5 linked regions of the Macaca mulatta genome follow. The main gene of each other region encodes a partner of the protein of the gene in region 4 in a complex. Links are inferred from orthologs where the notes say so. Each region holds a gene or a part of one and is shown on either strand. Other genes may lie near its edges.

What was found.
Region 1: NOD2 (region 4) and MAP2K3 share a complex: the UniProt entries of both Homo sapiens proteins name them as parts of the signaling complex. The link is inferred for Macaca mulatta from reciprocal best matches to the Homo sapiens genes NOD2 and MAP2K3.
Region 2: NOD2 (region 4) and MAPK14 share a complex: the UniProt entries of both Homo sapiens proteins name them as parts of the signaling complex. The link is inferred for Macaca mulatta from reciprocal best matches to the Homo sapiens genes NOD2 and MAPK14.
Region 3: NOD2 (region 4) and PKN1 share a complex: the UniProt entries of both Homo sapiens proteins name them as parts of the signaling complex. The link is inferred for Macaca mulatta from reciprocal best matches to the Homo sapiens genes NOD2 and PKN1.
Region 5: NOD2 (region 4) and AKAP13 share a complex: the UniProt entries of both Homo sapiens proteins name them as parts of the signaling complex. The link is inferred for Macaca mulatta from reciprocal best matches to the Homo sapiens genes NOD2 and AKAP13.

Annotation. Positions count from the first base shown.
Region 1 is NC_133421.1:22,178,687-22,184,868, forward strand, and holds the start of MAP2K3 (dual specificity mitogen-activated protein kinase kinase 3), read left to right. Parts: upstream 1-2,510; 5' UTR 2,511-2,631; coding exon 2,632-2,680; intron 2,681-6,182. UniProt on the Homo sapiens protein: Dual specificity kinase. Is activated by cytokines and environmental stress in vivo. Catalyzes the concomitant phosphorylation of a threonine and a tyrosine residue in the MAP kinase p38.
Region 2 is NC_133409.1:146,180,024-146,185,612, reverse strand, and holds part of MAPK14 (mitogen-activated protein kinase 14), read left to right. Parts: intron 1-1,684; coding exon 1,685-1,796; intron 1,797-2,494; coding exon 2,495-2,524; intron 2,525-2,856; coding exon 2,857-2,904; intron 2,905-4,672; coding exon 4,673-4,787; intron 4,788-5,366; coding exon 5,367-5,438; intron 5,439-5,589. UniProt on the Homo sapiens protein: Serine/threonine kinase which acts as an essential component of the MAP kinase signal transduction pathway.
Region 3 is NC_133424.1:15,065,527-15,071,115, reverse strand, and holds part of PKN1 (serine/threonine-protein kinase N1), read right to left. Parts: intron 2,214-5,589; coding exon 2,104-2,213; intron 2,010-2,103; coding exon 1,866-2,009; intron 1-1,865. UniProt on the Homo sapiens protein: PKC-related serine/threonine-protein kinase involved in various processes such as regulation of the intermediate filaments of the actin cytoskeleton, cell migration, tumor cell invasion and transcription regulation.
Region 4 is NC_133425.1:46,147,541-46,153,651, forward strand, and holds the start of NOD2 (nucleotide-binding oligomerization domain-containing protein 2), read left to right. Parts: upstream 1-2,658; 5' UTR 2,659-2,944; coding exon 2,945-3,029; intron 3,030-3,556; exon of another isoform or gene 3,557-3,690; intron 3,691-5,193; coding exon 5,194-5,660; intron 5,661-6,111. UniProt on the Homo sapiens protein: Pattern recognition receptor (PRR) that detects bacterial peptidoglycan fragments and other danger signals and plays an important role in gastrointestinal immunity.
Region 5 is NC_133412.1:75,523,105-75,528,693, reverse strand, and holds part of AKAP13 (A-kinase anchor protein 13), read right to left. Parts: intron 5,001-5,589; coding exon 4,924-5,000; intron 4,351-4,923; coding exon 4,169-4,350; intron 4,036-4,168; coding exon 3,953-4,035; intron 987-3,952; coding exon 792-986; intron 1-791. UniProt on the Homo sapiens protein: Scaffold protein that plays an important role in assembling signaling complexes downstream of several types of G protein-coupled receptors.

The sequences.
Region 1 (6,182 bases), on a different chromosome or scaffold from region 4:
CTTAAAGTTCCAGTCTCAAAATCACCTCCTCTGAGAGGCCTTCCCTGACCGCACCCAGATGGAGATGCCTGCATCACCCAGGCACCCTACTGGGACTTTTGCACATGCATCTATTTATAGCACTCACATGGAGTTTTGTGATTCCTGGGCTGTTTATCGGGCTCCTGACTAATCTACAAACTGCTTGTTTGCAAGGGCCCGTCTGAGTCATCTGGCTGCCAAGGAGGTTGGCACGGGACTGGAGTCGCTTCACCCTGGTCTGTGGATGCTTTCCTCCTTCCTTTTTTCATTCCTCAAATATTTATCAGGCACCTACTATGTACCTGGTTCTGGGCTGTGTATTGGGAACACAGCAGGGAATGAGGCGCAGATGGTCTGGAGGGAGAGCTGTGTTAAAAACTGAGTCAGTGACAAAGGCATCAGCAGCATGAGTGTTGTGCCTCAGTTTGGGGACCTGGGAAGGGAAGGTCCCCAAACTGATGGGAAGGCTTCTTAGGCGTGTTCATTTAGGAGGCAGTCTGAGGGATGAGAGGGAACCAGCCCCAGGAGGCTTGAGTGGAGGAATGTTCTGGGTGGAAGCAGCAAGGGTGAAGCTCCTGCAGCAGGACCATCACTGGCACATTTGAGGGGCAACACTAAGACTCTTGAACATCCCAAGGAGCAGAGTGCACAAGGCAGAGTGTCGGGGAGCAGAAGTCAAGGCTGTTGGCCGGTGCCTGAATCCAGAAAACTTGCTGGACCAGCCTTTCAGTTCTGGTAGAAAGGAAACTGCTACTGGATGCCCATTTTATGGATGGATAAGCGCAGGTCACCAGGGATGATACGGCCAGGATGGAGGCAGCCAACAGTGTTTTTGAACTCACATTTCCCGGGCACTTAGTGAGGGCCAGGCCCTAGGCCAGGTGTTCCCACTCCTGAACTCATGAAATGCTTTCAGAGACCTTCTTGTCCCCATGGGATAGGTAAACTGAGGCACAGAGCTGCTCAGTGACTTCTTTAAGGACATCCAGCTAGTAAGTGGAGGAATTGGTATTGGAACTCACACCTGTCTGAGCCCCAGACTCATGATTTTCCATCCCACTGCCTGTGAACAGGAGACGCAGGAAGAGAATGGTGATGGCTGCAAGGCTTCCCTCCTATCTCATGTGGCCCTCCCCACTCTGTGTGCATGGGGCCCTGCATCACCCCCACTTTACACCTGGGCAAGCAGAGGTCAGGCCCGGCCTCAAGCGTTTCTAGCAGGTGGTGGAATCTGCTTCCCTCACGTGAGGTCCCTGACAGGGTACACACTCATGTCTGCCTGGAGGCCAGGGGCTGACCCCTTGACCTTTGCCTGGTACCTTCTGCCTTCACTAGCACTGACTTTACATCCAGAGTCATCTGATCCCAGCGCCAGATTGGTCAGCGGTTCCTGAAATCCCCCAAGGTTCCGTGTGGGAGCAAAGAGAGGACTGGTCCATCCAGCCATTATACAGATGGGCAGACTGAGATCTTAGGAGGAGAGGAGAGAACCAAGGTCCAGGAGAGAGCCAGGATGGGGCCTCCGGGCTCGTGGGATAAAATGCACCGCATGCTGCCTCACTCCCTCTGAGACAGTTTCCCCCGGTGTAGAACAGGGGCAGCAACAACCAGCCACGACAACTCCTCGTGTTGCCTCGTCACCGGGCATCGCTGAGCTCACCACCAACCCCGCGCCCTGGCCGGGCGCCTGGAGCGCGGGCGCGGGCGGACGTTTGCTGGCGCCGGGCCCTCAGTGCGTGTCAGCGAGCAGCGCCGTCAGACGGCTGTCACCGCCGCCCGCTCACAGATGCGTAGACTGAGGCTCAGGTGTCACGACCTGACCAAGGCTAGTTCCGCTACAAAGTTGCCGACTCGGATCTGAACCCGGGTCAAATTTACAGAAAAGGAAACTGAAGCCCAGAGACACCAGGGAGCTTGCTGGGGTGAGGCAGCTGCAGGTTCAGAGAGCCAGGAGGCAGCCCAGCAGCGCACTTTTAACCCCCGCCCGCCTCGCCAGGCCCAGCCGTGCCACCTTTAGGGATCTCGGGTTTTTTCCAGACGACGCACCCGGGAGAACGCGCCCACTCATCGCACCCGCCGGGGCTGCGCGTCTGGGGGTGCTGGGCGGAGCCTGGCGCTTGCAAGGAGCAGCGGGCTCAGTGGGTCCCGGGAGTGGGTGGGGCTTGCGTGTTGACGGGCAGCGCGAGGGGCGCGGCTTTAGTCCAGGTGGGCGGAGCCTGACCGGACTTGGGTTTTTCGGGCGGCTGGCAGACTTGACAGAGAGCGGGAGGGGCCCGGATCCTGGGCCCACGGAGGGTGGGGCGTGTAATTGACAGGCAGGGACAGACCGGCGTCTGATAGGCAGGGGACGGGCCTTGGAAACGAAAGGGCCAATCGGACACGCAGGGGCGGGGCCTGAGTCAGCGCCGTTCGGCCGGGGTCCCCCCGGCGCTGCCCAGTCTGGCTCCGGCGCCGCCCGTCGCGGACTCGTCCTTGCAGTAGTCGCCGCCGCCGCCTCTGCTCCTCCGCCTGGCCCGGGCCGTCTGCCCGCAGCCATGAGCGTGCTCGGCCCCGGTGGAGCCCGCAGTCCTCTAGATTAGTCCCCACCGCCGTCCAGGACCCGCTTGCAGCATGGAGTCGCCCGCCTCAAGCCAGCCCGCCAGCATGCCCCAGTCCAAAGGTAGGCGATCCCGGCCGGAACCTCGGCCTGACCCCGCGCCCAATCTGGGGCCGGGCTGCAAACCCCGACCGAATTTCTTTGGTCCCACCCCATCCTGTTCTCGACCTGGCAGCGGCGTCCGGTCCCGGAACCCCTTCCTGTTCGGGGCCCCGGGACCGGCCGCAGCCTGGGTCCTCACCTGGACCCCCAGGTTAGGCCTTGGGACTGCATTCAGGCCCGAGATCACCCAGGCTGGACCCAGACTAGGACTTTGTTCTGCTCACCCCATCCAAGTCAGGAGCCTCACTCTGACCTCATTTGGGCCTTATGGCTGTAGCCTGGACAGGAACTCTCTCAGTCTTCTCCCTCAGAGGGACCCAGGTGAGATTCACACTGGCCTCCATCTGCGTCCTTGGGCAGCACCCACTCCCATTTCCAACTTGGGGTCCCAGGGCTGTATCCAGGCTGGGATTTAACTTAAGTCTCCATCTGGGCCCCAGAGTGCTTCTGTTGTTTCGGACCTCACTGTACCCGCTATGCGGGTGCTCTGGCTACACCCCAGCTCGGAACTCCCCGTCCTTCTCTCCTCCAGCTCTTCTTATCCTTATAGGCCCTATGTTGCCCCTTCCCTGGCTGGCCTGCACCCTGTCCTGCAGCCCTGTGCTCCCAGGAACCTCCCTTGTCCTCCCACCCCTCCCTAAGGTACAGCCCCCTCTCTACTGGCTTCTCTCTGTCTTGAGTTGCAAGCTTCTCCCTGCACTTGGGGTTCTCACCCCATCTTATTCCTCTCCTGGCTGCCTGGGATCTGGGCCAACCGCCAGGCCAGGGTGCTGGCTGTGCAAGGGATTTGCTCTTCTCCAAGTAGCTGGCCTTCCTGGAAATTTTTGTGAGGTGGCAGCAGCAGCAGGATTTGTCATGCGGAGGGGGAAGGATGAGACTCGGAGGGCAAAAGGGGAATTTTTTTTTCAGGAAGAGGAAAGGATGTTTTTGGTGCGTCGGAGTTTCAGTAGGCTGGGTTGTGTGAGAGATTTCCAAACCGGACGTAGCCGTAATGAATGGGCTGCCTCCTGCCTAGCTGAACCTGCAGCTGCTTCACCCCAGCAAGCTCCCTGGTGTCTCTGGGCCTCAGTTTCCTTTTCTGTAAATTGGAAGTAATCACACCTGCTTCTGTGGACGCGGGAGTGTGGCGTGGGGTGGTGAATACAAAAGAGCTCTGAGGTGTTCACTCAGCATAGCGCCTGGCGGAGAGCCGGCGCTCACCAGGGGACACTGGCTGCACACATCTCGCTATTGTTTCCATTCTTCTTGCTGGAAAGGCCTCCACTGCTGGAACTGCAGCCGCAGAGTGAGCAGGAGGAAGCATCTAGCAGCGGGCACCTAGTGGGCCCCTCATCGGGGATCAGCCGCTCTTCTGCTCTGGAGGGCGCAGGCCAGTGGGAGCCCTGTGGGGGCTTGGGGAGGGCACGGGCTCTTCCTGGCCCCTGCTGCTGGCTGCTGTGGTGGCTGGAGCCGGGTGGGCAGGATAATTATGCCTTACATAAGTGGGAGGCCGGATCCCTGACCATTGCCCAACCACTGTGAGTAACTCAGGAGGCACTTGAGGGGGGAGGTGTCTGGGGAGGGACTTGCACTGCCCAGACCTCGTGGAGCTTGGGAACCAGGAAATCAGACACTTCTCCACTCTGGAGAGCCTGGGGAAGGGTAGGAAGCCCTGTTTGTTTTGGAGGCTTTTTAGCTCTCCAGGCAGAGAATGCCTGATCAAAATAAAAGTTCCAGTTGCAGAGTTGTGAAGGGAGAGGGGTCATAGATGTGGTAAGAACGCTGTGAGAGGGCCAAGATGAACTTCTAGATAGGGACCCAGGTCGCAGATGAAATTGAGGGAGCTGGATGGAGGGTCAGGGACCTCCCTCAGGCCCAGCGACCCTGTAGTCTCTTTGGGATCTGGGGAAGGATGTGGTGACAGAGCCGCAATGCCCTTCACCAAAAACCCTATGAGCTTCTTCTTTTTTTCCATGTGCCATGCATTTTCTCATTTATTCCTCATAGCCTCATTTATAGATAAGGAAACTGAGGCGTTAAGTGCCTTGCCTGAGGCCACGCAGCTGTGACAGGCGGAGCTAGGGTTCCCCCTAGGACTGCATCCCCACAGTGGCCTTCCCCGTGCTCCCTTATGTGCCCCTCCCATGCTGGATGCCTGAGCTGAGCTGGTGGGGTGCCCCCACCCCTGGCCTTGCTCAGAGCATGTGCAGTGGGCCTGTCCTCATGGCCATGTCAGACCTAGAGGACAGACTGAGGCAGAGGTGCTGCTGCTCTTGTGCACAGTGCTTTACACTGGGCCTGTTGCATACTTGCTGCAAAATCCCACTCATTTGACAGATGCAGAACTGAGCTTGGATGGAGTAGCCGGACTGCTCCCACAGGTGGAGATCCTCACCCCGTGCCTGCCCCATCCTGGGCACTGGGCCTCCCAGCACTGAGCCCTTCTCCACCTTCTCAAAGGAATTTGAACAAAGCAGGGAGTGGCTGGCGCTTGACCTTACTGGAGCTTTACCTTTGAGCTTCCTGCCTTGCAGCAGGTACCCTGCCCTATCCTTCCTGCCATGGGCCTGGGGAGTTTTCCGTGAGCGTGTGAGGCCCTCAGGCCCACAGCTCTGTTGGTTTTCCCCTGGCCTTCTTGCCCACATGGCCATCTCTGGCTGGGATCAGAGGCCAAGTGGCCGGCGCTGGGGCCAGTGGGTGGGGGCATGTGTGCAAGCCACATTTGTCCTTGGAGGGTACCATGTGTGTCCTGTTGTCATTCAGAACGTGGGTTCTGCCCCTTCTGCCCTAAGAGTGCCACCTGTGGGGGCACTTCATGGCTAATCTTCACACAGCTTGGACTGTGGCTGTAGGACTCCTGACTGCCCAGTGGGGTCACTGAGGTTTCATGGAGCACTGTCGTATCCTAGCCCTGCCTATTGTGGCCATCCCCCATCCCCCGGCTGTCGGAAAGACTGGAGGTGGCACCTCGGGGACTTCCCCCACCCCTCTTGTGACGCACAGGAAACTCTCTGTCAGCCAACCCATGGCCCAGGGCCCAAAGGGAGCAAAGTTCTCAGTTGGCCTGTGTGAGGAGAAGGCCGGGGCAGCGGAGGCTTCCGGCGGTGAGTCAGCGGGCACTGAGTGCTGACTCACCTGCTGGGCATGCCAGCCGGCTGCCTACAGCTTAAAGGGGCGATGCCTGCTGGCCTGGTGGGTGGGGAGGGGGTTACGTGTCCTGCAGGTGGCACCTAGCCCTGAGCTGGAGCACTGGAGGTGGCCCCTTCCTGCGCCTCGGACTAGGCTGGGAACCCCTGGGCAGGCCCTCTGTGCCCCACCCAGGAACTTCCTCTGTTAGGCAAGGGGCTCTGCTTCCTCTTGCTCACAGAGCAGGAGCAGGTGGCGGTGACTGTTTACTACCCTTGGTCCAGGGGACACCTCAGGTTCAGCTGTGCATCTGGGACTCAGGGAGGGCGAGGAGCAGAGGTTGTGCAGGGTCGGCTGG
Region 2 (5,589 bases), on a different chromosome or scaffold from region 4:
AATTCTGGAATGCCTCATCTTGCCTCCAGATAAAATATGTTCCTCCTTCCTGTAAGGTAAATGCAGGAATATTGTCAATGAACAAAATCCTTTCACTAGTCGTTCCTGAAAAAGAATTATAGTTTGAAAATCAAAAAATAGACCAGGCGCAGTGGCTCAAGCCTGTAATCCCAGCACTTTGGGAGGCCGAGATGGGCGGATCACAAGGTCAGGAGATCGAGACCATCCTGGCTAACCCGGTGAAACGCCGTCTCTACTAAAAAATACAAAAAAAAAAACTAGCCGGGCGAGGGGGTGGGCGCCTACTGTAGTCCCAGCTACTCGAGAGGCTGAGGCAGGAGAATGGCGTAAACCCGGGAGGCGGAGCTTGCAGTGAGCTGAGATCCGGCCACTGCACTCCAGCCTGGGCGACAGAGTGAGACTCCGTCTCAAAAAGAAAAAAAAAAAAAAAAAGAAAATCAAAAAATACTCCTATTTTAGAACCTACAACGTGGAAGGCTTATAATAAGGTGAAAATGTACTGGTGGATTTAAAACTACAAGATACTTAATTATAGCCATGCACTAAGTTATACTGTATATTTTGTCATGCAAGAATAATATTTTTAAGAAAACTGATACTGACACATGTATCTTTCTAATCCCTACTTTTGCTTTTATTATTATTATTATTATTATTATTTTATTTTTTGTAGAGATGGGGTTTCCCTATGTTGCCCAGGCTGATCTCAAACTCCTGCCTCAGCCTCCCAGAGTGTTAAGATTACAGGTGTGAGCCACAAAGCTTGGCCTGTTTTCTTTTCTCTTGAAATAACCTGAAAAAGGTTATGTCAAGTAGGAATAAGTATGTAAATGTTTAGAATAGATGGCAGGTAGTTAACGTTAGAACAGTAATGTTGGGAGGCTGAATTGGGAGGATCACCTGAGACCAAGAGTTAGAGCCCAGCCTGAGCAACATAGTGAGACCCCATCTCTACAGAAAAATTTTTAAAAATTAGCTGTGCGTGGTGGTGCACACCTTTAGTCCTAGCTACTCGGGAGGCTGAAGTAGGAGGATCGCTTGAGCCCAGGAATTTGAGGTTGCAGTGAGTTACTATGATTGCTCCACTGCATGACAGAGCATGACCCTGTCTCTAAAAAAAGAAAAGTAAAAGAATAGCAATGTTGAAAATGAGGTAATGAGGTGCCCCTCCCCTCAAAAAACGAGTAGTTATTAACTTTTAGCTGTCATCGTGGTACAGCTACCATTTTAAGGGAAGGGTGGCCTTCCCTTAAAAACTTAGAAAAGTCGGGCCGGGTGCAGTGGCTCATGCCTGTAATCCCAGCACTTTGGGAGGCTGAGGTGGGAGAATTATGAGGTCAGGAGATCGAGACCATCTTGGCCAACACGGTGAAACCTTGTCTCCACTAAAAATACAAAAATTAGCTGGGTGTGTTGGTGGGCACCTGGAGTTCCAGCTACTCGGGAGGCTGAGGCAGGAGAATCGCTTGAACCTGGGATGGAGGTGGAGTGCAGTGAGCCGAGATTGCGCCATTGCACTCCAGTCTAGCAACAGAGTGAGACTCCGTCTCAAAACAAAAACAAAAACAAAAACAAAAAAAACAGAAAACTTATAAAAGTCTTGTGAAGATAAGAGTTTTCTTAGGGGTTCTAGATTGTTATGTAACTTTTCACTAATTTCTAGGTATCTGGTGACCCATCTCATGGGGGCAGATCTGAACAACATTGTGAAATGTCAGAAGCTTACAGATGACCATGTTCAGTTCCTTATCTACCAAATTCTCCGAGGTCTAAAGGTACAGATAATATAAGTAATAATTTTAAAAAAATAATTCTGCCTTTCTCCCCTCCTTTTAGGGCTTAAACAAGTAAACAACTTTTCTTACGGAAAATTCAAACACATAAAATCACAAGTAAAGGTCATAGTACAATAAACTGCCATGTTCACTCAGTGACAACAGTTACCGACATATGGCCAATCATGTTTCTTTTGTATTTCCCAAGCCCTGGATTATTTTAAAGCAAGTCTAGACATTATATAATACCACCCATAGATACTTCAGTATGCACATCTGAAAGATAAGGACTCTTCATTCTTACATCTAAACAATAATTTATTGATGTGATCTAATATCTGGTCAGTGTAATGTTGAGATTTTCAAAAAATCCTCAAGAAAGACTAATTTATTTGTTGGAGGGGCAGGTAAACAGTGTTTTAAAATTAAACCATCTTTGATATTTAGCTGCTTTGAGTCCTTATTGAGCTCTAGAGTACCAACCAGAAAATAGATAAAAAGCTCAACTGAGTGGAGTCAATGGCTGTGGAAATTATAGTTATGGTAAATGTACACAATACTGATAGTTACTTACGCTGATTTCTAATCTTACTGTTAACACTAGCAGTTCTTACTGATTCATGAAAATGTGCAGCAAATATGTTATATAATGTGACAATAGAAGGTTGGAGGTAACTGACTTTTTTTCTTTTTTGCAGTATATACATTCAGCCGACATAATTCACAGGGTATGTATTATGACTTTGATTACATTATTTTGGGGAAGTGGGGTGAGAGTGGAAGAATGGGATTTAGCCAAGATCCTAATCTAAACTTACTTTAGCCATTGAAATGTTGATTGATTGCAACTTTACTCTAGGTTTAGGCTGATTAAAGAAAGAAGTTGTGTAGTTTTGTTCTATGTAAAGCTAACTTGGACTAGACATTGACTGTAGGATGGAGATTATGTTTTGATAGCTGGATGAAGTCTTTTATGTCTGGATCCTCATTATTACCTGTAGGGGGAAAATTGATCATGCATCATGAAGTTGATCCTGTCTTCCCTGTATTTGCTTCCTAGGACCTAAAACCTAGTAATCTAGCTGTGAATGAAGACTGTGAGCTGAAGGTAAAATGAAGAGACAGTATTCATTGTTTGCTTTACTTTGAGATTGTATGTTTGACTAAGCAGGCAAACTTTCATAGGGAGTAGATTTATGAGCCGTGACTATCCGAAATTCATATTATTTTTATTACCAGACTTTGAAATGTAAACCATTTCTGAGTAAGCTAAGTGACATTGAAAGTGGCATCACTTGTTTTTATTTTAACATAAAGTTAAATTATAAATTTAATATATTCATAATAAAGGAAGATAATAGTCAAATATCAAGTAAGTGGTCCTAAAGAGGTGATAACTACATTAAATACATTTCTAAGAGGAGAAATGACAGAAACCCACTCACTCAAAATAATTCAAATAAAAGATAAGTGAATTAATTTTTTCTAAAGAGCAAGCAGCTCTAGAACTTATTTTGTTCCATTTCATTTTTTTTAACTTAAAAAAAAAAAAATTTCCATACATTAGAACGCACCATTTTCATTTTGGCAAAATTATGTATCCACTTAACTATCACATTTATGATAAAGAACATTTCTTTTTTTTTTCTTTTTTTTTTTTTTGAGATGCAGTCTCGCTCTGTTGCGGTCTAGAGTGCAGTGGTGAGATCTTGGCTCACTGCACCCTCTGCCTCCCGGGTTCAAGCAATTCTCCTACCTCAGCCTCCTGAGTAGTTGGGATTACAGGTGCATGCCATCACGCCTGGCTAATTTTTGTATTTTTAGTGGAGATGGTATTTCACCATGTTGGCTAGGATGGTGTCGATCTCCTGACCTCGTGATCCACCTGCCTCGGCCTCTGAGAGTGCTGGGATTACAGGTGTGAGCCACTGCTCCCAGCGAAGAACATTTGGATTACTTTCAAAAGTTTATGGCCAGGCGCAGTGGTTCATGCATGTAATCCCAGCACTTTGGGAGGCCGAGGTGGGTGGATCATGAGGTCAGGAGATAGAGACCATCTTGGCCAACACGGTGAAACCTCATCTCCGCTAAAAATATAAAAATTTAGCTTGGCGTGGTGGCAGGCACCTGGAGTCACAGCTACTCAGGAGGCTGAGGCAGGAGAATGGCATAGACCCAGGAAGGCAGAGCTTGCAGTGAGCCGAAATTGCGCCACTGCACCCCAGCCTGGGTGACAGAGTGAGACTCCTGTCTCAAAAAAAAAAAAAAAGAAAAGAAAAAGAAAAAGTTTATTGTGTCCCTTCCTAGTCTAGTCAATCCCTATCCCTCCACCCCTAATTCTGACTCCACGCAACTATGCATCTGCTTCTAACACTATAGATTAGGTTTATCTTTTCTGGAGTTTCATGTAAATGGAATCATATAGTGTGTATTTTTGTGTGTCTGACCTTTGCTTTGTGTAATGATTCAGTATTGTGTGTGTCAGTGGTTTCTTCCTTTTTATTGGTAATAGTATTTTGTTTTATGAACATATCAGAATTTTTAAATCTGTCCACCTGCTGATGGACATTTGCTTGAGTTTGAGGCTATGTAAAGCAACTGTAAACATTTATGTGCAAACCTTTGTGTGGACATAAGTTCTCATTGCACTTGATTAAATACCTAGGTTTTTGTTTTGCTTTTTGTAATTTCAGTTTAAGTTCTTGCTGTATATTTCCCATACATTCTAAGCATGGACCAGGAAATCTCTTTATGAAAGTGCTATTTTGTTCTCCTTTTTAATAAGGTGGCAGAAGTTTGTTTGTTTGTTTGTTTGTTTGTTTGTTTCCCCTGTCTCTCAGTCTTAGCAGTTTGTCTGTTCCTCTTCTGCCCTTTAGATTCTGGATTTTGGACTGGCTCGGCACACAGATGATGAAATGACAGGCTACGTGGCCACTAGGTGGTACAGGGCTCCTGAGATCATGCTGAACTGGATGCATTACAACCAGACAGGTATTACTTGCCTTGGTTATTTAGGGCCTTATTTAATTCCATGTTGGATGCATTTGGGATTCTCAGAAGTAGAGATGGTGGGAGTGGGAAGAAATATCTTTTCTTCCCTCAGTGATCCTTTTAAAGCCTACAAGTAAAAATATTTCACTTCCTCAGATGGGGAAGTGGGGTTTTATACACAGCCTTTAAATCTTGTGATTTAGCAATTGGGTTTTTATTTATTTAGATTTTAATATATTCTCTGAGTACTTATACCTAAAGACAATGAATCCATAATTTTAACCCCTCAATGTTACTTAGAAGAATCTACCATTCTGCTAATACGAAACTTACCCCTTTTTAAACAGCTTATTTCTCTTAAGTATGTTTTGACTTACCACACCTTTGAATAGCCCTTTAGTCAGGTGATCTTAGTAAGCTATTTATTTCTGTAAAAATGACTATGATTGTTGAGCCTCAGATGTCTTAAATAGTAATTTGAATATTTCACCCCTAGTTACGGTTTCATTTGTTGCCATTGTTGCCAAGAATAGTAACAGTGACATTGCATGTACTTTTATTTCTCTTTAATTTTGCCAGTTGATATTTGGTCAGTGGGATGCATAATGGCCGAGCTGTTGACTGGAAGAACATTGTTTCCTGGCACAGACCGTATCCTTTAAAAAGTTTTGGATTCTTGTTTCTTATCTGTATTCCAGTGTCCATGGATGTATACTCCTTTTACTTATCTCTAGGGAAGGCTCTCAGTTTTTTGCTTTTATAGTCTAGATAATGCATTATGAAGTTTTTCTTCTTACTGAGT
Region 3 (5,589 bases), on a different chromosome or scaffold from region 4:
AATGTCATTCGGACCAGGGGTTCCCAGCCATGGAGCACTAAACAATGTCTGGAGACCTCTGGGCTGCCAAACCTTAGGGGGAGCCGGTGCTACTGCCATCCTGTAAGCAGTGGGCAGAGGTGCTGCTAAACATTCTCCAGTGCACAGGACAGCCCCACCACAGAGGATGATGTGGCCCCAGATGTCAACAATGCCAAGGGGAGGCCACCCCAATTCAGACCTTCACCCTCACACGGCTGTGGAAGGAATCGCTTTCTCTTGACTGTGGCTGGTAACAATCACCACGATATGTTGCCAGGTTTTGTATCACTTTTCCGGCTGGATGAAATTTTATAATTTATTTCCTTTTTTCTTTAAACATTTCTAAATTTGGAAATCAGCTTCTTCTTCTTCTTCTTTTTTTTTTTTTTAAATATCTTGCCTCAGAACAAAACCAATCCCAGCTAAGGTTATATCACTGATGTGGCTAATTAGAAGTTCTTTTCTTCTTCTTCTTCTTTTTTTTTTTTTTTTTTTTTTGAGACAAAGTCTCACTCTTGTTGCTCAGGCTGGGGTGCAATGGCATGATCTCAGCTCACTGCAACCTCTGTCTCCTGGGTTCAAGCAATTCTCCTGCCTCAGCCTCCCGAGTAGCTGGGATTACAGGTGCCCACTACCATGCCCAGCTAATTTTTGTATTTGTAATAGAGATGGGGTTTCACCATGTTGACCAGGCTAGCCTGGAACTCCTGGCCTCAAGTGATCCACCTGCCTTGGCCTCCCAAAGTGCTGGGATTACAGGTGTGAGCCACCGCACCCGGCCAAGGTGTGCTTTTCTATCAAGGTTCAGAGACAGATCTAAAATGTATCTTCCCCTTCTAGAATACACTGATCTAAAACATACCTGCCACTTCTAAAAGAGCCTGATCTAAAACTATCTTTCCGTACTAAGAGAAACCAGATCTAAAACATATCTTATGCTTCTAAAAGAGCCTGATCTAAAATGTACCTTCCCCTTCTAGAACAGACAGATCTTTTATTTTATTTTATTTTTTTGAGATGGAGTCTCACTCTGTTGCCCAGGCTGGAGTGCAGTGGTGGGATTTCAGCTCACTGCAGCCTCTGCCTCCTGGGTTCAAGCGATTCTCCTGTCTCAGCCTCCCGAGTAGCCGGGACTAAAGGCATGCGCCACCACACCCAGCTAATTTTGTATTTTTAGTTGAGACATGGTTTCACCATGTTGGCCAGGCTGGTCTCCCTGACCTCAGGTGATCCACCTGCCTCAGCCTTCCAAAGCGCTGGGATTACAGGCATGAGCCACTACGCCCAGCCTAAAACAGGCAGATCTAAAGCCTATCTTCCCTTTCTAGAAGAGCCTGATCAAAAACATACCTTTCCCTCTACAAGATATCTATTTAAAATGTATCTTCCCCTTCTAGAAGAGGTAGATCTAAAACATATCTCCCCCTTTTAGAAAAGCCTGACCTAAAACATGCCTTCCCCTTCCAGAAATGGCAAATCTAAAACGTATCTTCCCTTTCTAGAAGAGTATGATCTAAAGCCTATCTTCCCTTTCTAGAAAAGCCTGATCTAAAACATCTTTCCCTTCTAGAAAAAAGCAGATCTAAAACATCTCTTCCCCTTCTAGAAGAGGCTGACCTAAAACATATCTTCTCCTTCTAGAAAAGGCAGAGTTAACACATATCCTCTGTTTCTAGAAGAGCTGGATCTAAAATGTGTTTTCCTCTTCTAGAAGAGCCTGACCTAAATCGTATCTTCCCCTTCTGGAAGAGCCAGACCTAAAACAGATTTTCCCCTTCTAGGAAACTGGGAATGGGGGAGTGAGGGAGAAGCAGCATTTTCTCAGGATCAGGGGTGGGCTGTACCTCGGCCACCAGGCAGCCCTGGGGTTCCATGTCCAGCTGCACCTCATGCCTCTCATTGTCCAAGAAATCCTCCAACTTCAGGAATTTGAGGGCACACAGGCCCCGCTGGTCCCGCCAGAACACAGCCAACTCCAGTTCCCGTGCCTGCAGGGAGAGGAAGAGGGCCATCACTCAGGGTGCCAGAGGCATGGAACGCCGCCTCCTCCTCCGGGCCCTGTTGTCCTCCAACGCAGCTCACCCTCTCCAGCTCCAGAGTGAAGCTCTGGTCCCAGGCACTGGGGCCACATGGCTTCCAAGACGTCTGCCCCACCACTGTGTTGTCCAGCTTAAGCACAGTGCTGACTTCACCTGAAATGGGGGAGAGGGCCCAGTCAGAAAATGCTGGCAGCGGCCAGGCAAGGTGGCTCATGCCTGTAATCCCGGCACTTTAGGAAGTCGAGGCAGGCAGATCAGTTGAGGCCAGGAGTTCAAGACCAGCCTGGCCATCATGGCAAAACCCCATCTCTACTGAAAATACAAAAAATTAGCTGGGCGTGGTGGCGCACGCCCGTAATGCCAGCTACTCAGGAGGCTGAGGCAGGATAATCACTTGAACCCAGGAGGCAGAGGTTGTAGTGAGCCGAGATCATGCTACTGCACTCCAGCCTGGGTGACAGAGCGAGACGAAAGAGAGAGAAAGAGAGAAAGAAAACAGAAAGGAAAAATGGCCTTGCACAGTGGCTTGTGCCTGTAATCTCAACACTTTGGGAGGCTGAGGCAGGTGGATCACCTGAGGTCAGAAGTTTGAGATCAGCCTGACCAACATGGTGAAACCCCGTGTCTGCTAAAAATACAAAATTACCCAGGTGTGGTGGCGCATGCCTGTAATCCCAGTTACTCGGGAGGCTGAGGCAGGAGAATCACTTGAATCCAGGAGGCGGAGGTTGCAGTGAGCCGAGATCACGCCACTGCACTCCAACCTGGGCGACAAGAGTAAAGTTCTACCTCAAAAAAAAAAAAAAAGAAAGAAAGGAAAAAAGAAAGAAAATGCTGGCAGAAAGGGGCAGGTCTATTATCTTTTTCTTTCTTCTTTTTTTTTTTTTTTTTGGTAGAGATGAGTCTTGTTATGTTGACTAGGCTGGTCTCAAACTCTTGGCCTCAAGTGATATTCTCCTGCCTCAGCCTCCCAAGTATCTGGGATTACAGGCATGAGCCACCAGGCCTGGCTGTCTGCTATCTTTTTAAAATAAATCCTCCTCTCCATTACTTTTCTCCAACTGTGAAGTTTTGCATTTGACATTGAAGCCTTTTTTTTTTTTTTTTTTTTTGAGACGGAGTCTCGCTCTGTAGCCCAGGCTAGAGTGCAGTGGCATGATCTCGGCTCACTGCAAGCTCCGCCTCCCGCGTTCACGCCATTCTCCTGCCTCAGTCTCCTGAGTAGCTGGGACTACAGGCGCCCACCACCTCGCCCGGCTAATTTTTTGTATTTTTAGTAGAGACGGGGTTTCACTGTGGTTTCGATCTCCTGACCTTGTGATCCGCCCGCCTCGGCCTCCCAAAGTGCTGGGATTACAGGCGTGAGCCACTGCGCCCGGCCGACATTGAAGCCTTTAATCCAGTTGATTTTTTTTTTACCATGGTGTGAGGTGAGGCAGGGATCCAAATTCAGTTTTATTCTACATGGAAGTCCCAGCAACATACTCCTAAGAATTTATTTATTCATTTATTTTTTGAGCCAGAGTCTCTCTCTGTCACCCAGGCAGGAGTGCAGTGGCACAATCTCGGCTCACTGCAACTTCCACCTCCTGGGTTCAAGCAATTCTCGTGCCTCAGCCTCTAAAGTAGCTCAGACTACGGGCACACACTACCATGCCCAGCTAATTTTTGTGTTTTTAGTAGAGATGGGGTTTTGCCATGTTGGCCAGGCTGGTCTTGAACTCCCAAACTCAAGTGATCACTGGCCTTGGCCTCCCACAGTGCTGGGATTACAGGCGTGAGCCACCGTGCCCAGGCCTTCCTAAGAATTTACCCTAGCAAAATGCATGCATGTATACATCAGTAGATACATTTATAGAAAGTATATATAACAGTCCAAAATAGAGGCATCCCACAGTCCATTAACAGGAGAATTAATATTTTAAAACTGCGATACACTCTTAGTAGCTGAAGTACAAAATTGCTGATATTTAACTATTTTTTTTTTTTTTGGTTTCAGAAAAAGGCAATTCGATATGGCTCAGTCTAACATAATGGATTATTAAGCAGGAATAAATATGAATTAACTATAGCTTCTCACAACAAAATGGATGAGTCTCCCAAAACAATGCTTTTTTTGTTTGTTTGTTTGGTTTTGTTTTTTTGCATTTTTTTATAGGATGGGGTTTCATCATGTTGCCCAGGCTGGGCTCAAATTCCTTGGCTCAAGCAATCCCTCCACCTTGGCCTCCCAAAGTGCTGGGATTACAAGCTTGAGCCACTATGCCTAGCCCCGAAACAATGTTGAATGAAAAAAGCCATGTGATAGAATACAGTCTGTATGAGCCTATCAATATAAAGTTCTAATACCAGGCAAAATTAAAGTTTTTGGAGATGCAAACATGGAATTGTACAACTATGAATTATAGCAAGGAAATGATAAAAGTCGGGACAGTAGTCACCTCTATGGCAGAGGAAGGAGCTGGAATTGGGAAGGAGACAGGAGGGGGCTTCTGGAGAGCTGGAAATATTCTATTTCTTTTCCTTTTTTTTTTTTTTTTTTTTTTTGAGAGGGAGTCTCGCGCTGTCGCCCAGGCTGGAGTGCAGTGGCCGGATCTCGGCTCATTGCAAGCTCCGCCTCCCGGGTTTGCGCCATTCTCCTGCCTCCGCCTCCGAAGTCGCTGGGACTACAGGCGCCCGCCACCTCGCCCGGCTATTTTTTTGTATTTTTTAGTAGAGACGGGGTTTCACTGTGTTAGCCAAGATGGTCTCGATCTCCTGACCTCGTGATCCGCCCGTCTCGGCCTCCCAAAGTGCTGGGATTACAGGCTTGAGCCACTGCGCCCGGCCTTTTTTTTTTTTTTTTTTTTTTTACGATGGGGTCTCGCTCAGTTGCCCAGGCTGGAATGCAGTGGTGCAATCACAGCTCACTGTAGCCTTGACCTCCTGCATTCAAGTGATCCTCCCACTTCAGCCTCCCAAGTAGCTGGGACCGCAGGCATAAGCCACCATGCCCACGTCTGGTTAATTTTTGGTTGGTCTGTCTTCGCTTTTTTTCCCTTTAGTTTTCTTTTTTTCTGTGACACAGACTCAGGAGGGCCTGATGACATGTGCCCCATTTTTTTTATTATTTGTAAAGACAAGGTCTTGCTGTGTTGCCCAGGCTGGTCTTGAACTCCTGGGTTCAAGTGATCCTCCTGCAAATCCCAAAGTGCTGCGATTCCAAGCAGGAGCTGTGGCCCCTGGCTGCCATATTCTATTTGCTAACGCAGGTGGTGGTAACATGGGTGTCTGCTCTCCCGTTACTCTTCTCTACACTCCCTTTTTTTTTTTTTTTTTGGTACACATGTATTAATTTTCTTTCTTTGTCCTTTCTTTAGCTGCGAGATTAGGAATCAAATTTTCTTTTAAAAAAATTATGGCCGGCCGGTCGCGGTGGCTCACACCTATAATCCCAGCACTTTAGGAGGCTGAGGCGTGCGGATTACGAGGTCAGGAGATCGAGACCATCCTGGCTAACACGGTGAAACCCCGTCTCTACTAAAAATAC
Region 4 (6,111 bases):
TGGTTTCCCCATGGGCTGTGACCTGGCCTCCTCCAGGGTCCTTGTTCTACAGAGGGGAAACACCTGCCCTGTCACCCTCCTCTAACCCTTTAGTGAAGAAGACCAGAGTGACATCCCCACCACCTGTACTTGCCTGACCCGATCACTCAGCCATGAGGCTGCTGGGGCCCCTGAGTTTGTTGGCCACTCAAGGCTCCTTTACCTCTCTGCACCCTGGGATCTGAGGCTGGAAGCATCCTCATCCAGCCCACCTCCCTCCTACCCATCGCAGAACCCCTCTGTGACACATGCCCAGTGGTGGGGAGCTTGCTACTGGTGAGGTGGCTTTTCAGTGTCTTGCAGCTCTTGTTTTCTTTAGCTAAAATCTATGGCTTGCAGATTCTACACCTTGGTTCCACCTCTGTCTCCCGGAGCCACGCAGAGCACGTCCATTCTTTCATTCATTCCGGCGATCATCATTCATGCACTGGATGAGACACAAGACAGAGCAATAGGAAAACCAGACAAAACTCCCTGCCCTCATGGAGTGCACATTCTAGAAAGGAATGGACAGCAATGAAATAAGTAAATACACGGCATGGCAGGTGGTGGGAAGTGCTATGAGTAAAACAAAACTGGGAAGCAGGATGGGGTGCTGGGGCTGGGTATTGCATTGTATATAGCACAGCCAGGGAAGGCTTCCCCAAGACCAGGAGAGCTGGGCAAAGTCATAAGGAGTTGAGGGGTGAGCCACGTGAGTATCTGGGGGGCTGGGAGGCTTTGGTTTTCACTCTGAGCATGATGGGAGCACTGGTTTGGAACAGAGGAGTCCCCTGCTCTGACTTGGGGTCTGGCAGGCCCACCTCGCTGTGGGGTGGAGAATGGGTCGTGGGGAGTGAGGTAAGGGCAGAAGGAGAGCCTGGTGAGAGGATCATTGCTGTCATTCTGGGGAGAGACCATGGTGGCTTGCACCATGGCCCAGAGGTAGTTAAAATAATAATTTAAAAAACAAGACATTCAGATTTGAGATATATTTCAAAGGCTGTGTCGATAGGATTTGGGGTGTAAGAGAAAGGTAGAGTCAAATATGATTCTGAGGTTTTGGCTCGAGCTTCTGGAGGTTTGAAGCTGCCATGAACTGAAATGGGAGTTGCTTAGGGGAGATTGAGAGTTTGGTTTTGTGCTTGTGGAGTCTGAGCTGTCCATTAGGCATCAATGATGAGTAAGCAGTTGGGAAAAGTTAAGGGCGGAGGTTGGAGTTGGAAATAAAACTTTGGGCATTATCACCATATAGCTGGTATTTAAAGCCACAAGAGCAGGTGGTCTCATCTAGGGAGGGAGTGATATGGAGAAGAGAAGGGGTGCTGAGGCCCCCAGTGTTAGGAACCAGCCAAGAAGACAGAAAGAGTGAAAATCAGAGAGTTGGGGTGCCCTGGAGGAAATGAGGAAAATGCCCCAAAGAGGAAGGAGGGAACAAATATGACCAATGCCCCTGGCAGAGCAAGCAGGCTGAGGGCTGAGGATTGAGCAACGGGAGGTCACTGGTGACAGTTTCACTGGAGCTGGATGGGGAACTTGAGGGTGAGGGAGGGGATGGGAGGACTTGGGGACAGCAGTACAGGCAATAGACAAGGGGGTCTGCTATAAAGGGGAGCAGATAAATGGGATTGGAGCCAAATGAAGAAGGTGGGTGTCAAGAGAGGGCTTTACCTTTACAATGGAGAATATAGTGCATTGTGCACTGGTGGGGGGAATTGGTCTCTTAGGAAGAGAAGTTCAGTGCCGGGGAGGGAGAATGCAGGATGGCTGGGGGAGGGTGGGGGCGCTTGGCCCCAGCAGAGACCCGGGATACTTGGGAAGTTGCGCTTCCCTGGGCTTCCCTTCCTCTCCTGTCTGCAAGGGGTCAGTGGGCTGAGATTTCAGCACTTAAGCAAAGCATTTGCTCTTGGCCCCAGAGAAACCAGGTTGGCTGTGGTCTCAGGAAGGAAGGAGCTGTCCAGGCTCAGACCTGGGCCTGGGTTTCAGGGAGGGCCCTTGTGGGTCGCTCCTTGACCCTCTCTTTCAGCAAGGAAGTGCTCCTTTCTCTACATGGGCCTCACCTTGGGGAGGACAATGGTGTCTTTGAAGTTGTAGTAACTGAAGTAGAGATCAAAAGGCAATGCAGATAGACTAATAGATTTTGCCTGAAGAGGGGAAGCCCGATCAGGTAATAAAGGGGTAAGAGGAAGGATGTGAAGGACAATTTTTAGGAAACAGATAATGAGTGAATATTTTTTCTGTCTCTTTCCCAAGTTAAACTGAAGCAGGAGAAACTGAAGCTAGCTAGACATAATGAATAAATTCCCAAGCTGGTGAGCTTCCTGAGCTGGTTAGTGAGGACAGCACTAAGGCCAGGCCCTCCTCTCCGGATGTTTAATATGAGACAGGACAATGCCTGCTCAGAGACAGGGGACTGGCTGAATTGGCCCTCAGGATTCTCTTTGCTCTGAGGTTTCTGGAAGAAGGCCAGGGCAGAGGTGCGGTGATGCAGCTGCTGGGAGGACAGAGCTCCGAGTCACGTGACTTGGGCGGCCCTCCCCTTCCTGGTGCCCACAGAAGCCCGACGTCACTAGCCGGGGTGTGTATGGCTCACACGTAGGCCAGGCTGCCCTAGGCTTGGTGTGCTAGGGAGGGGCCCCTACTTACTTGTGGCCTGTCCCCTCGTGAATGTGTCTCATGTCCCCAGTGGGGTTTTTCAGGGAGGGTCATGGTCTCCAGGATGCACAAGGCTTTGTGCTAGAATTGCCTGGAATTACCTAGTTCTGGAAGGCTGGTTGGCCAACTCTGGCCTCTGGCTTTTCCTTTGGGAATTTCCCTTGAAGGTGGGGTTGGTAGACAGATCCAGGCTCACCAGTCCTGTGCCGCTGGGCTTTTGGTGTTTTGCACAAGGCCCACCCACAGATGCCATGCCTGCTCCCCAAGCCTAATGGGCTTTGATGGGGGAAGAGGGGGTGGTCCAGTCTCTCCCGATGAGGAGGAAAGAGCAAGTGTCCTCCTTGGACATTTTCTGGGTAAGAGGAGCAGGCATTGTCCTGTCTCAGCTTGACTCTCAGCCTTCTTTCATCCCTGGCTGCGCGCATGCTCCCAGGCCTGGGGTGAGATGGGGAGTGCTGACTGTGGCTCTGGGCTGTTTTCTGGGGAGAGTGGGTGGGTGGTTATTTTCCCCAGGACCCTGGCAGGGGTGATGGTGGGGGCTGCTGTCGCGTCCTTGGCTGATGTTTCCACAGCTGAGAACCACTCCAGGGCCAAGCCCAGAGCTTATTCTACCCCCTTTTGGTCCTCTCTTCCCCCGTCCCCCGCCACCCCACCCTCTTGGCTCCTCTGCTTAGAGGTGAGCACGGGGAGGAGACCTCCTTGGCCTGAGAGAACTACCTTAGTTCCTGGATTCCAGTGGCCTGTGCAGGGGGGGGACACTCTCTCTCCCAAGCAGCCAGACACACACATAACCTCATTGCCTCCGTTTCCCCATCTGACCAGCACAGGGCCTCCTGTGCCCCAGCAGCGTTCTGAGAGATTGGAGGTTTTTCCTTTTGCTTACCTTGGCTGCCGTATGAGGATGGTTACAGTGTTCCTCCCACCCCCAGCCCAGGGGATATTTGATTCATGAACATTTCCACGGTGTCTCTGCGGGGGACAGTGCCGTGCCAGGCTCAGGGATGCTAGGACGAGTAAGACCCAGGCTTCCACGTGACCCAGGCAGGGAGAGAGACACATAAACAACCATCAGCAAAGAGGCAAAATCCCCAGGCCGCTTGGCGTCTACTCCCTCGAGTGGCTGGGAATGTCCCTGATTTATAAAAAGAAGCCGACGGCTCTCTTTGTTGTCCATGCCTACACCCTTTCACTTTCGTTTCTTCGAGGCACTGCACCAGCCCTTGTCCACAGACCCCACGACAATCGCAGAACTAACCATGCTGAGAGATTTTCTCAGCTGCTCAGAGATCCTCCCAGGGCTTGAAGCTCCTGGAGGGTTACTTGCCCTCAAATTCCCAGAACCCACAGCAGGTGGCTAACGGTAGCAGCAGCAGCAGTCTGTGCACGGTGGTTTCGAGGGCGTGGGAGGGAGGTGAGGGCCCTAGGGCAAGTGTGTGGGGGAAGTGTTGATGGGGGACAAGGCACGAGAACGCTTGGAAACAACTTAGTTTGCACCGTAATTTTTCACTTAGCCTAGGATAGGACCTTTAGAACAATACTCTGAGTGTACCCCTTGGAGTAGCAGTGTGCAAAACACACAGCAAGGGCTTGGGGCCCCCGTGGGGAACCCAAATGTAAGAGTTAGAGACATGCATTCTGGAGTTGCACACGGCTTGTGTTGAAATCCTGACTCTGCCTGTCTAGCTGTGACATGTCGTACAAATCGCTGAGCCTCTCGGTGCCTCAGTGTCTTCCTCTGTAAAATGGGCAGATCATAGGCACTACTTCAGAGTGGCTGGGAGGGTTCAGTGAATTCACGCAGGAGAGCACTTAGAATGGCGCCTGGTGTGTTGTTTATGCTTAATTAATATTAGCCATTACTGAAACTGCTGTAGCGTGAATCCGGCCAGTGTGGAGCCCCTCTCACCCTGCTTTGAAGAGAATGAATTCCCTGACTGCTCGGAAGATCTCTCTTTCTCTCTCTCTACTTTTTACATTTTTATTATTATTTTTTTGAGACAGGGTCTTGCTCTGTTGCCCAGGCTGGAGTGCAGCCTGCAACCTCTGCCTCCCGGGTTCAAGTGATTCTCCTACCTCAGCCTCCTGAGTAGCTGGGATTACAGGTGCCCACACCACGCCTGGCTAATTTTTGTATTTTTAGTAGAGAAAGGGTTTTACCGTGTTGGCCAGGCTGGTCTGGAACTCCTGATCTCAAGTGACCTTGGGAGATCTCTTGCTCCTCATATTACCTCAAGCCTTTTTAAATGTTTTAAGCCGGAGACCAAGCATGGATGTGGGAGTTAGGGGTCTTGATTTAATTCTTGGTTGCTTCAAACTCTCTGTGGGACCTTGAGGTGTTTCTTGCCTTCTCTGGGTCTCAATTTTCACATCTGTATGGTGGGGAGCTTGGATTGGGTAATGTCTGAGGCTAGAACCATGGCCAACTCGGGTTCTGCTGGGGCTGACTTGCCCTGGCCTTCCCCAGCCACCCCGCGTCTGGCTTCTGGAGAAGTCCTGCACTGACCTTGTTCTCCTCCCCAGGTTGTGAAATGTGCTCGCAGGAGGCTTTTCAGGCACAGAGGAGTCAGCTGGTGGAGCTGCTGGTCTCAGGGTCCCTGGAGGGCTTCGAGAGTGTCCTGGACTGGCTGCTGTCCTGGGAGGTCCTCTCCTGGGAAGACTACGAGGGCATCCACCTCCTGGGCCAGCCTCTCTCCCACTTGGCCAGGCGCCTCCTGGACACCGTCTGGAATAAGGGTACTTGGGCCTGTCAGAAACTTGTCGCTGCTGCCCAGGAAGCCCAGGCCGACAGCCAATCCCCCAAGCTGCATGGCTGCTGGGACCCCCACTCGCTCCACCCAGCCCAAGACCTGCAGAGTCACCGGCCAGCCATTGTCAGGAGGCTCCACAGCCATGTGGAGGGCGTGCTGGACCTGGCACGAGAGCGGGGTTTCGTCAGCCAGTACGAATGTGACGAAATCAGGCTGCCAATCTTCACACCGTCCCAGAGGGTGAGGCACTCCTGCATACATCACAGAGTTCCCAGGAAAGGGGTGCTTAGTCACCAAGACTGATTTGTCCTCATGAAGTCAGCCTGTGGGGTAACTTGGTCTGTGGGATTTCCCCTAAAAAGGTAGCCAGGCAGGTAAAATTTGCTCTTGACTCTTGGCAGGCAACATACAACTTTCTTTCCTTCTTTCTTTTTCCCTCCCCTCCCCTCTCCTCCCCTCCCCTCTCCTCCCTTCCCCTCTCCTCCCCTCCCCTCCCCTCTCCTCCCCTCCCCTCCCCTCCCCTCCCTTCCCCTCTCCTCCCCTCCCCTTCCCTCTCCTCCCCTCCCCTCCCCTCCCCTTCCCTCTCCTCCCCTCCCCTCCCCTCCCCTCCCCTCCCCTCTCCTCCCCTCCCCTCCCCTCCCCTCCCCTCCCCTCTCCTCCCCTCCTCTCCCCTCTCCTCCCCTCCTCTCCT
Region 5 (5,589 bases), on a different chromosome or scaffold from region 4:
AATGGCGTAAACCCGGGAGGCGGAGCTTGCAGTGAGCTGAGATCCGGCCACTACACTCCAGCCTGGGTGACAGAGCGAGACTCCGTCTCAAAAAAAAAAAAAAAAAAAAAAAGCAAACTAAACTATAATGTTTAGGAGTAGGCACTTAAGTCATAAAGATATATAAGTAAGTGATTAACGGCCGGGCGTGGTGGCTCATGCCTATACTATCAGTTCTTTGAGAGGCCAAGGTGGGTGGATCACTTGAGGTCAAGAGTTTGAGACCAGCTTGGCCAACATGGTGAAACCCTGTCTCTATGAAAAATATAAAAATTAGCTGGGTGTGGTGGTGCACACCTGTAGTCCCAGCTACTTGGAAGGCTGAGGCAGGAGAATCACTTGAACCCAGGATGGGGAGGCTGCAGTGAGCTGAGATTGCACCACTGCACTCCAGCCTGGGAAACAGAGCAGCAAGATCCTGCCAAAAAAAAAAAAAAAAAAAAAAGGCATAAATGATTAATTTAAAAAAAGGCCAGAATAACTGCTCCTTTTGGAGGGAGGGAGGTATGATGGGGACAGGGCACGTGGACGAAGGCACTTCAGGGTGTCTGGCCACATTTAATTTCTTGATGTGGGTAGTGGTTAAAAGGATATTCACCTGATTATTTACTATAGTGAAGTATTTGTTTTGGGTAATTTTCTGCATTTGTGCGGCTTTATTTTAACGTAAAAAAGTAAAAACTGGCAGATAATATTAGAGTGTAAACCACTCTGGGAGGAGATGAAGGGAGGCAATGTTGAATGTTAATTACCCTCATTTATTGCACTTTTCATTAAAGGTCCTCCTTTGAGAGCGTCTTCTGTGTTGGAGCGGAAGAGAACTCTAGGGCTATGTGTCGGGGAGCAATCCTCTGGGAGGGGGGTGCTGCACTCAGCCATGTCCCGGAAAATCATCTCCTTCTCTTCCAACAAGAGTAGGATTTGTTGGTCCTTCTGTTGAAGTTGTTCTGCAGGATGGAGAAAATGATCTGTGATTTGATTGGCGTTTAGTATTACGAGATGACTAAGACATGAGCACCACCTTGTGGTAATTTATGGAAAGGGACAAGACAGGACACCCCACCCACTGCCCTTTCTTTTTCATCATGACAGCAATATTGTTTCTGTTCTGTGATTTCTATCTGGAAAACCATTCTGGATCTTTCTGGCGAGGAAATTGTGACATAACAAGTTTGCACTTTGCTTCCACTCCCTTGTCCCCTGTTTACTTCTCAGCCCACTACTCTCTAGCTTCTGTCCACTCTGCAACTGGTTTCCCAGCTCAACTTCACGATTGAATCCAATGAGGTCTTTTAGGTTGTTTTTTTCAGCATTGATGATTACTTCCTCCTTTAAAACATGTTTCCTTCTTTAACTTAGGACACTGGTTCTCTTCCTACCATTCTTTCTCAGGACACTTTACTGATCTGCCATCTGCAATGGAATCTCTTATCTGGGCTCCTGGCTTCTGTCTCAGCTCCATCCTGAGAGCTGTCTTCTTCTTTTTTTTTTTTTGAGACAGAGTTTCGCTCTTGTTGCCCAGATTGGAGTGCAATGGCACACTCTCGGCTCACTGCAACCTCCACCTCCTGGGTTCAAGCAATTAAGCGATTCTCCTGCCTCAGCCTCCTGAGGAGCTGAGATTACAGGCATGTGCCATCACCCCTGGCTAATTCTGTATTTTTAGTAGAGATGGGGTTTCACCATGTTGGCCAGGCTGGTCTCAAACTCCCAACCTCAGGTGATCTGCCTGCCTTGGCCTCCCAAAGTGCTGTGATTACAGGTGTGAGCCACTGCACCTGGTCTGAGCTGTCTTCTTTACCTTACCCACTTTCCTCTTGAGGATCTCATTCATCCCCATGGCTTCAATTACCTTCTATATGCTGATAATTCATTAAAAAAAAAAAATCAAAAGTCCTCCCTTTCTTAGCAGCAGACCATGGGGCCCAAGTGGCCACCTCTACTGAGATGCTTTGTTCTCAGCATGTGAGAAACCAATCTTTTCTCTAGCCCATCACCTCCTCCCTTTAGTGTGGAATCTCTTTCTCAGTCAACAACTCTTCATCTTCCAGGTCACCTGATTTGGAAACCTGTGAGAAATTCTTTCTCCTCACTCTGTCCCACCACCAACTGACCAGACTTTTTTTTTTTGAGAGTCTCACTCAGTCACCCAGGGTGGAGTGCAGTGGCACTATCTCAGCTCACTGAAACCTCTGCCACCCGGGTTCAAGCGATTCTCCTGCCTCAGCCTCCCAAAGTAGCTGGGATTACAGGCACACACCACCACGTCCGGCTAATTTTTGTATTTTTAGCAGAGATGGGGTTTCGCCACGTTGGTCAGGCTGGTCTCCAACTCCTGACCCTTGTGATCTGCCCACTGCGGCCTCCCAAAGTGCTGGGATTACAGGCGTGAGCCACCAAGCCTGGCCAACTGACCAGATTTTAATGACCTTATTTCCTACTCACATCTGTTCCCTCTCCAGCTCATTTTCACTTAACCTATCCTAACAGTCTTCCAAATGGTCTTTCTACTCCCAGTCGCTTCCCATTCCCTCAAGCAACTCTCCTAACTAGCTTCAACATGTTTAAAAAAAAAATCTTTTTTTTTCCTTTTTTTAAAAAATTACATCAGTCCCTTGTTGCCTTTTTAATACCTGGTGCTTTTCCAGCTTAAGCTCCCATCCCTTAGCCCTGACCCTCCAAACACACCAAACCTGTCATTCCTTGGCAGACATGTCAAGTCCTTTTTCACCTTTGCACATAACTACTCTTGTGTGCTGAGATAATTTTTTTCAGATGTAACTCATGCACCAGCTTCTCTGTGAGACTTACTAGACGCAGGATGAGCAGATCCCACATATGTTAATCGTGCCTGTGGTCTAATAAATCACTGTGTGGCCCATCGTTGAGGTATGTCTCCCCTGCTAGGGTGTGAGCTGCTCAAGGGAAAGGGCTCTTTTTAAGGAATCTTTGCATCTGTTGTACCTAGCAGTATGCCTAGCCAGGTACTTAACAAAATTTAAAGAAGGAAGATTTTTATCCTTGTCATCCTAATCATGGGCCAATAAATCTGCTGTAACTCTGGCTCTGGTCTAAATCTGTCCATATTTTTAATTTTCCCCTCAGTGAGACTCAATGCTTTCATTTGTATGGCTTTAAGACCTAACCAAACTCCTTAGATGCTTACATTTATTTAACTCTAAGCCTTATTTTGACCCAAAGCATAGTCTTTACTTAGAAACATTCGATAAGCCACTGGCAAAGAGAAAAGAGCACCAGGCTTTGCTAAGACAGGGAACAGAATTCTGGCTTAACCATTAACTACACGTGTAACCCTGCGTAGCTTGTCCTTTGTGGGCCTCGACTGTCTCATCTGCACAACGGGGATTAGAATGCCTGTGTTGTAGGGACACTGACAAGACTACACAAAACAGTCAGCACTCAATAAACAGGGGTCAAACATAGATCGATACATACCCTTCTCCCAAAACTTCACCTCGCAACTCATTTGTGAACTGCAGATAAGTGATAACGCTAGGGACTGGTGGGAGGATTAAATCAGATTAACTGGAGAATTCTTTTCCCCAAATTCTCTCCTTGTTTTAATTTTAGATGTGACTACAAATTTTGGCAAATTCATCTGTGACAAAGTACAGAGAATGTCATGAGGTTTGAGAACACTGATCCTGAGTTAAGAGAATCAATATTCTCTTGATCCAGTATTGGACACATCCTTACAGTCATTCTTTACCAGGACCCATGTCAGCCTGGACTTGGTTTCTCTTTTGTTAACAGCTATTCGTTTCACTGCCTTCAAGTGCCTTCTGGGGCAGCTTTAGAACTGAGGGCAAACCCATCCTCTAAAATCCACCAGCAGTCTTCTGCAACTGCAGACATTCCAGACAAGGGGCTCGGACCACTCCCAATGCCTCACCTTTTAATTCTCGGGCTTTGGTGTCCAACATTTTCTTTTCTTCCTCATTCTCACTAGGAATTCCTTCATCTTCATCTCTGTTCCTAATACAACCCAAACAAGACAGAACAAAAAGTTCCTAAGATGTCGATTACTCTGGTCACAGTACAGCCTATTATGGAAACACACAGAGACATCAGGAGGGCTGGGAAGGGTGGGGCCTGGTGGTTAACTTACAGGGTGTTGATTGTGTCCTGAATGATCTGAATCCAGCTGTTTCGTTCCTCTTTGGAGCTGGCATGGACTTCTACCATCTCTGGATCTTTCATCCCCATGCTGATCAGGAATAAACCTCTCTCCTCGTGTGCCACTTCTCTCACAATCAGTTTCTTTAAAGAGATCACTGTTGACTTCTGGTCCTGGAAAAAGGGAAGAGGGCAAATAAAAGATACATATACAATATTCTAACTCTTAAGGACAGCTTAAATCTAAGGTAAGACTAGATGCTGTTAAAAAAGCACACAGTTTGAAAAACAATGGCTGCTTTAGGATAAAGAGAAATATCTCATTTCATTCAGATTTTAACAAAGATTTTTCAAAAGGGAAATAGTAATTTATGGCTCTAAAGGTTCCAGTCATGTTTTCTACATGATGAATCTTTCCAGGTTCCCCAAAGAATCCAGTCAGCAATATTATACATGAGCATCATTTATGGGCTCACATGTGAGAAATACTCCAGTGACAGGTTTCTTCATAGGTCAAATAGTCAGATGTCCAAGACACTAAAAGAAGACTGTGATGAAACAGAATAATAATTTTTGGGGAAGAGGGGATGCCAGAAAATTGTGAGGGCGTGTGGGAAATTACTCAGAGGAATTTGTCCTGAGCCATTTAATTTTAAGAGGGCTGGGGAGAGCAATAATATAGTGCTTACATTCCATAACTAACCTAGATGCTTATAATGCTATTACAAAAATAACAATTCAGCTTACCAATGAGGCAAAGATGTACTTCTGGTCTTTTTCTTGAAGGAAAACTAAAATGTCAGTGAGAAGAACTGCTTGAACCTCTGGAAAATGGAAATGGGAGAAGGGAAGATAGAACAATGACTACTTAATAGTTACCACAGTCAGAAGGGTTTTTATTGAAGGTGCAGTACATATACCCCCATAAGGGCAAACTATGATCTGAGATCACACTCCTCCAAAGCAACAGTTTTACAGTTCTCCAGGATTCACATCTGGTCACCAGATTTTTAGCAGCATTTTAAAATGGGATTTATCACCAAAGCCTTGTTTTGGAAAAGTTTAAGTACTCAGTCCTAGAAAGATATATCCCATAAGACAAGAGTTTAAGAATAAAATACTTTTAAGAATAAAGCTGAAAAGCTGGACTTGTACAGATGTTAAACAGCAACACAGAGCAGGATACTCCAAAAAATACTCAGGTTGCAATATTTTTTGACTTCTGATTACAGTAATGGGAAAGGTGTGGGGCAGGAGACAGCAATGCTGCCCAAATATGAAGTATAGAAATATCTAAGTCTAATGAAAAGATGTCTGTCTTCCACACCCTCAAAAGAACAAAGAGTGGCCACACAGGCACCTTCTAGTCTTACAGGTACATGTGAATATAGGGCTCTTTCCTCAGGTCCATAT